Linked DNA regions of Oryctolagus cuniculus. The protein of the gene in region 1 interacts with the protein of each later gene in a biochemical or structural test. Links are inferred from orthologs where the notes say so. Each region holds a gene or a part of one and is shown in the gene's direction. Other genes may lie near its edges.

Region 1 (3,746 bases):
CCCGCGCAGCCAAGCATCCGGCTGCCCACCTGCTGTGCAGGTGCGAGGTCCCGCGGGGGAGCCGCGCGAGGGCCACCCGGGCAGGTAAAGGCGCCGCAGTCCTGTAGGTGCGGAGGCAGACGGACCCCTGCCCCCGGGGCGTTCCGAGAGCGCCCGCCCGGCCGCCCAGGGGCCGGGGAGGAGCCCCCGCAGGCGACTTTGGGCGGGCAGCGCTCGCGGGCAGAGGCCGGAGGCGGGAGCGGCGCAGGTGCGCGAGGCCCTGTCTGGAGACGGAAGTGAGGCAGCCGAGGCCCAGGCGGGAGCGCGCGGCAGGTGCGTCCCGCATCCGGGCGGGGCGCGGCTCTGGGGCAGGGACAGCGCTGCCCGCGGTCACCAGGCGGTGGGCAGCGAAGGGCGTCCAAGGGCGGCCACGGGGAGGAGGGCCCGGCCTCCGCTCCCCCCGGGACACAGCCTCTCTGCGCGCTCCTCCCTGGGCGGGAGTGCGAGGCGGGGTGGGCCCGCGGTCGCCGGCTGTCCTGGGACGCACACTCCCCCCCCCCCCGAGGGTGGGCCCAGACCCCGGCTCCGCCCCCGGCACGGGGTCGGGACGCACCTGTTCTCGGGAGTTCTGGGTTTTGCTCAGGTGTGGATTTCTGACCAGCCCCCCAGCCCGGATTTGTGGGTGATCTGTGGAGGGCTGCCCCCCAAGGCGGGGCCGGGGCCCTCACCCCCCCCCCCCAGCCTCAGTGTGTCCTTTGAACCTGGCCCATCTGAGGTGGGTTCCCTGCCCCAGGTGTCCCCGTGTGGAGGACCGCGGATCCGGGACCCCTGAGCTGACCCCCTCCCACCTGCAGACCTGGGCCCCCCAGCTCCCCCTCCCCACAGACCTGGGCCCTACCCCCCCCACCTGCAGACCTAGGCCCTGCCCCCCACCCCTGCCCATTGGGACCCCAGGGCCGCGGTCCAGCGGCTTCTCCACGGCCACACAGCCCAGCGCAGACCGCGGGGAAGCTGGGACCGGGACCTAGGGGCGCGGGGAATGAGGGGCGTCTCTGCCCCCTCGGGGGTCTCCGCCGCTGCCGCCAGGCCTGTCAGCCACGTTCCGTGTCCCGGCAAACCAGAGCTGCGAAGGCTGCGGACGGCGGAGCCTGGAGGAGGGCGTGAATGAGTGCCTTCCAGGCCCTCTGCGGCCGACCCCATCGCCTGGCCCCGGGCGCCCACCGCGCCGACGGCTCGGACGGCGCCCTAGCCCCAGGGGCGACCCCGCCGTGCCCGCGCGGGACGGCGCGGACCCGCGAACCGCGCGCTCGCGCTCGTGGGACGAGACCGCGCGCGGGAATCCCGGCGCGCCCCTCCCCCAGGCGGGACGGCCCCGGGCTAGGGAGCGTCGGCGCTTCTCCTCCCGTCGGTCTGGCGAGCGTCCGGCCTTCCGTACGGCGTCAGCTGATTGGGCGGATCTGGACGATGCCCCGCCCAGGCCCCTGCATTGGCCAATTGCAGGGGGTTTCACAGGACGCCAGACTCAGGGGATTGTCGCCGTCCTGCGCCGTTTCGGGCATCCGTAGGCCTCAGTGGTCTTTGCCCCCCGGCCCCGGGCCCCGGCCCCAAGGAGACCTCCGGAACCTACGCGCTGAGACGCGCCCGCCGGGCATCCGGGGAGCCCTTGAGGAACGCGGCGCGCCCCTTCCCCGGCTGCTCGCCGGCGTATCCTCGAGTGCGCCCGCCCGCCCCGAAGGAGAGTTTGCAGACGCTCCCTCACTTCGAGGACGCGGCTCCTTTAAGAGCACAGGTGTCCAGGGCGCCGCCTGACTGGAAAGTCGCCCCCGGGCCGGGCTCCCCGACGGGACGCGGGACGCGGGCGCGCGGCGGCGGGGCGCGGGCGGCGAGGAGCGCGCGGGGCCGCGGGCGGCGCGCGGCGCGGCGCGGCGGCGGCGGCGCGCGGCGCAGGCGTGCGGCGGGCAGCCCCGGGCCAGGCCCCGCCCCGCCGCCCCGCCCGCGCCGGGGTCCTCGGCGCTCGGGGCTGCGCGCGGAGCGGGCTCCGGAGGGAAGTCCCGAGACAAAGGGAAGCGCCGCCGCCGCCGCTCGGCCCCCGCTCGTCCGTGACGCTCGCCGGGCCGCGGCCGCCCGAGGTGAGCGGGGCCGGGCGGGGGGCCTCGCGGGCTCGGGCCGGGCCGTCGGCGGCCCGCGCGGGGCGCGAGGCGGGCGCCGCGGCCTTCCGGGCGGCGCGCGGCCTCGGGGTCACGGCGGCCGCCCGGGCCGCGCCTTCCTCGGGCCGCGGGGCTCGCGGGGCCGCCCGGGAGGGCGCCGGGAGCGGCCGGTTGCGGACCAGCGGGCGCGCGGGGGGCTCCGCCGCCGCCGAGGGAAGTTTTCCTGCGCGGCCGAGAGCGCCCCGCTCGCCACGGGCGGCGGGCGGCTCCGTGCCGGCCAAGGTGAGGCCGTGGCCGCGGCCCCCAGCCCCCTGCCCCGCCGCGGGGGTCGCGCGTCTTCGGGGCCCGGAGCGCGCCCGGCCCTCCGTCCGCCTCCCGGGGCCTGTGTGGGCCGCCTGCCCCGCGCGGCGCCCCGGCCCTCTCCCGCAAGGCCGCTGGCCAAGCCCGCCGCTGTGCCTTTGTCTGGCGGGGCGCGGGGGTCCCGGGACGGGGGTCGGGCGCAGCCGAGGGAGGCGTGGGGTGCATGCCCCAGAGGGCCCGTCCGCGGGTGCGGGAGGGCCGAGAAGGGCCACGGAGGCGGCCGGTGCGGGCCGCGGCAGCCCACCTGTCCAGCGCGGCTGCGTGCTGAGACTGAGGCCGGGCGCCCGGCGCCGAGCAGGTGCGCACCTGTGGCTCGGCCCGGACGGGCAGCGCCGCCCGCCGCGGGGGTCTCTGTGGGCGGAGCTCTTTCGGGCCCAGCACGGGCAGGGGTGCAGTTCTGATGCGCTGGCTCGGGAGGGCGGGTTGCAGCGGGGAGGGTGTGAGAGGCGCACAGGAGCCTTGGGGACCGACGTCGGGCTCCCCGCGGCCCCCAGGCCCCTGCCGGCCCCTGCCCCGTGCTGTGCTGCCTGCTTCCGGGGACCCCAGGGCGCCCGGGGCTGGCTCGCGCGCTGCCCGTGCAGGTGGAGGCTGTGGTGAGCCACAGGCAGGTGTGCTGGGACCGGGCCGCCACGCCTGTTCCCGGAAGGGGCCCGGGCTGGGGCGCCAGGTGCGGGAAGGCGTGGCAGCCTGGCGGCGGCTTCGCCTCTTTAAAGGTTTATTTATTGTCAAGGCAGAGTTAGAGGTCGCGCAGCCGCTGGTTGGCTCGCCCAGACGGCCCCGTCGGCTGGGGCTGGGCCGTGTGGAAGCCGGGAGCCTCTTCTGGTCTCCCACGCGGGTGCAGGGGCCCAAGGCCCTGGGCGTCCCCCCGCAGGGAGCCGGCTGGGAAGTGGAGCAGCCGTGGGCTCAGCCTGCAGCCGTGCGCGGTGTGCGACGGCCGGAGGCGCCGGCACTCAGGAGCCCGAGGACCGTGGTCCTCGTCCGATCGTCTGTGGAGGTCTGGCTCTCCTGGGCTCTCGCCTGCTGGGTTCTGGGATGCCGCCCGCCCCGGGCAGAGCCTCCCCCTCTAACCAGTGCCAGGTGAGCCGTGGAGTGGCTCTGTAGCCAGGGACTTGGAGGGCGACACCCGTGGGTTCCGAGGACGGGGCAGACAGCAGCTGGTGGAGTCCAGGCGCGGCGGCCTGGGCCCTGGGCTGTGGTCCTGGACCTTGAGGGCCGCTGTGGCCGGCCCTGGTCAGGGCGCTGGCCCTCGGGTCCGGGGCG
Region 2 (3,646 bases), on another chromosome or scaffold:
TTAGAACTAACAAAACTTTTTCTTCATTTTCTTTTTGAAAGTATCTGGTGGAGCCATTGTTGTGGCACAGCAGGTTATGCCACCACCTACGATACCACCATCCTAACTGGGCATGAGTTCAACTCCCAGTTCTGGTCCAGGTCTCTGCTAAGGTGCCTGGGAAAGCACTGGAAGATAACCCGAGTCCTTAGGCCCCTGCCCCACCCATCTGAGAGACCTGGTTGGAGTTTCTGGCTCCTGGCTCTGGCTTGGTCCAGCAGCCATTTGGGAAGTGAACCTGTGGATGAAGATTCCCCTCTCTCTCTTCTCTCTGTGTCACTAGGCTTTTCAAATAAATAAATCTTTAAAAAAAAACCTTTCTGGTACGTTCTGAATTTTCTGAATTCTCCATTTTCTTCACTGTCATGGTGTTTGTTGTTATTAGTGTATGTTTGTTGGCAGGTTATGTTAACAGCAATTATTGGAAAGGAAAATAGTTTCAAAGTTTCCTACACTAGTAGCTCTGTCTTCTCAGACAGAAAAGGAGATTATAATTTTAATCTCATAAAGTAATTACGGTGATTAAATGAGCTAATCCATGTCAAGGATTGACCCCACACATAGTAATTGCTCAATATGGTGTTTGAGCTATGTTACCATTTTTTAATATTCTCAATCTTATTTTTTTTCATTTCAAGAATAGAACCTAGATTATCACACCATTTCTTTGGGCAAAAGCCTTTGACCTGCAGAAATAAGCTGAACTGTCTTTTCGCAGGGAAGTGTCTGTTCATGTCAGGGCTGAGTGAGGTCCAGCTGAACCACATGGACGATCACACTTTACCTGGGAAGTATGGCATTGGATTTACCAATATGGTGGAGAGGACGACGCCAGGCAGCAAGGATCTTTCCAGGTAATGACGTAGCACTGGGGAGTCGGAACCTTGAACCTGCTGGCACTCACAGGCCCTGAGAACATCATCCACATGCCCTTCAAGCTGAGCTCAATGACTATATGATGTGATCTTTTATTGAAAACAGCCTGAATTTAGCGTATTAGAAATGTTGTCACGTTTGGTTTTGACTACTTTTTAATTCAATTTTAGTAAAGAATTTCGTGAAGGAGGACGTATTCTAGTCCAGAAATTACAGAAATATCAGCCACGAATAGCAGTGTTTAATGGAAAATGTAAGATTTACTTTTAAATTTTATCTTTTCTTCTTTGCTAATGTTATAGACGCTGTAAATATGTTTGTATTTCATTTTAGGTATTTATGAAATTTTTAGTAGAGAAGTTTTTGGAGTAAAGGTTAAGAACTTGGAATTTGGGCTTCAACCCCACAAGATTCCAGACACAGAAACTGTAAGTCCTTAAAATGGCAGCTGGAGGTGAAATGTTGTCTCTCTTCCTTGGTACTCCCTATCCATTGTAGTTTATGCCACAAAAAAAAGCACACTGTATTTTGTTGAATAATATCTATACATATATCAACTTGAACTAATAGTTACAAAGTAATTCAGAAACTGTTAGGATCTTATTAGAGACATATTTATCAACTAAATGTCTTAATGATGTTATCCACCTAAACTATTAAGAGGAACTGGCTCATGTACTGCATTTAAAATATATTTAGGGGCCGGTGCTGTGGCGCAGCAGGTTAACACCCTGGCCTGAAGTGCCGGCATCCCATATGGGTGCCAGTTCTAGTCCCAGCTGCTCCTCTTCCAATCCAGCTCTCTACTGTGGCCTGGGATAGCAGTGTAGGATGGCCCAAGTCCTTGGGCCCCTGCACCCACGTGGGAGACCCGGAAGAAGCTCCTGGCTCCTGGCTTGGGATCGGCGCAGCTCTGGCCGTTGTGGCCAACTGGGGAGTGAACCAACGGATGGAAGACCTCTCTCTCTGCTTCTCCTCTCTCTGTGTAACTCTGACTTTCAAATAAATAAATAAATCTTTATAAAAAAATCAGGAATAAAATATATTTAATGGTGTATGCTTATCAAATGCAATTGAGTTAGCCCTTGGACCCAGTTATGAAAGAAACATGACTCTGATGAGAAAAACCACAGGTCCTGTTTGTATATTCATTTTAGAGCCATATAAATACAGCCCAGACAAACATTCAGAAATAGCAATATTTCCAAACTCTAATTTCTTTTTTTTTAAGATTTATTTATTTGAAAGGCAGTTACAGAGAGAGAGAAGTCTTCCATCTGCTGGTTTACTCCCCAAATGACCACAGAGGCCAGGACTGGGCTAGGCCAAAGTCAGAAGCCAGGAGCTTCTTCCAGGTTTCCCACATGGGTGCAGGGACCCATGCACTTGGGCCATCTTCCACTGCTTTCCCAGGCCACAGCAGGGAGCTGGATCAGAAGCAGAGCAGCTGGAACTCAAATTGGTCCCCATATGGGATGCCAGGACTGCAGGCTCTGTGGCTTTACCTGCTACACCACAGTGCCAGCCCCTGCATTTATCTTTTAAAACTTAGTCTTTATCATGAAATGTTAAAGTTGCTGATTTATTAGTGATTTAACTGTGAAACAACAAAAAGACCTATCTTTTTTTAAGCTTCTGAATCATTTTAATAGAAGAATATCTTTAGATTGGAAAATATGTTATTACAAAATCCAGTAATATTCATACTACATAGCTTTATGAATCACCATTTTCTACACATACATAAGCAAAGCAAGTAATGTGTTCTTCCTGTAAAACATGATATGGAGGCCAATTTAAAAATTATGTGAACATGCATATCCTATCAGCCTCTCACAGGCGCTTTTTAAAGACAGTTTGTTACCATCAGCCAAGCTGATAAATGCAGCTGTCTTTCTTTGTAGCCATTGCACTTCCAGGAATTTATTGGATATACTCAAACATTCAAATATGTACAAAGGTTTTGTTTTGTTTTGTTTTGTTTTCCTACAGCTTATAATAGCAAAAAATTAGAAACAGCCTAAATGTCCCCAGTTGGGCTCTGGTTGAATAGATTATAAAGTACTACACAATTATAAAAAAAAAAAGGAAGTTCTTTTTTTACTCTGATTGTAATTATTGAGTGCAGGACAGGAAGTAGAGCATGTTAACATTCGTATATTTTTTTAAAAGGGGCGCGTATATCCAGATACCTTGGATTGTATGTTTATGGCATCTCCGGAACTGGCAGCATTGTTTGCCCTTGGGTGAGGGAACTGGGTAAAGACAGAGCCGGCAGGGAAGACTTCATTATACACTCGCATGCCCTTCTGTCTCTTGAATTATGAACCATGAATCATGCATTTCTATTGAAAAGACTTTACTGACAGATGGATGTTTGGGGAAGAAGGCTGTTTATGTTTTATTTATTGACTTTGAAATAAATACTACAGATCTGAACTTAAGCACAACTACTTTTATTGATGTTGCATACAATATAAGTATGTGGTTAGGTATTAAGTTAGTAACTCTAAGATAAATTGTATAATGTCAGTATGAGTTGATTCAGTAGAATTGTAACATTTCTGAAACTAAAACCTTGATTCCAGCTCTGCTATGTGATGCCATCATCCAGTGCAAGGTGTGCTCAGTTTCCTCGCGCTCAGGACAAAGTTCATTACTACATTAAGTTGAAGGACTTAAGAGATCAGTTGAAAGGCATTGAACGAAACACAGACGTTCAAGAAGTGCG

Evidence for each region. The genes of interacting proteins can lie anywhere in the genome.
Region 2: of the proteins of UBE2I (region 1) and TDG, one has a biochemical effect on the other in vitro, tested with the Homo sapiens proteins (3 studies listed by BioGRID). The link is inferred for Oryctolagus cuniculus from reciprocal best matches to the Homo sapiens genes UBE2I and TDG.

The regions. Positions count from the first base shown.
Region 1 is NC_091450.1:33,712,880-33,716,625, reverse strand, and holds the start of UBE2I (SUMO-conjugating enzyme UBC9), read left to right. Parts: upstream 1-1,502; 5' UTR 1,503-1,768; intron 1,769-1,951; exon of another isoform or gene 1,952-2,108; intron 2,109-2,255; exon of another isoform or gene 2,256-2,408; intron 2,409-3,746. UniProt on the Homo sapiens protein: Accepts the ubiquitin-like proteins SUMO1, SUMO2, SUMO3, SUMO4 and SUMO1P1/SUMO5 from the UBLE1A-UBLE1B E1 complex and catalyzes their covalent attachment to other proteins with the help of an E3 ligase such as RANBP2, CBX4 and ZNF451.
Region 2 is NC_091442.1:106,812,238-106,815,883, forward strand, and holds part of TDG (G/T mismatch-specific thymine DNA glycosylase), read left to right. Parts: intron 1-757; coding exon 758-893; intron 894-1,085; coding exon 1,086-1,168; intron 1,169-1,248; coding exon 1,249-1,343; intron 1,344-3,503; coding exon 3,504-3,646. UniProt on the Homo sapiens protein: DNA glycosylase that plays a key role in active DNA demethylation: specifically recognizes and binds 5-formylcytosine (5fC) and 5-carboxylcytosine (5caC) in the context of CpG sites and mediates their excision through base-excision repair (BER) to install an unmethylated cytosine.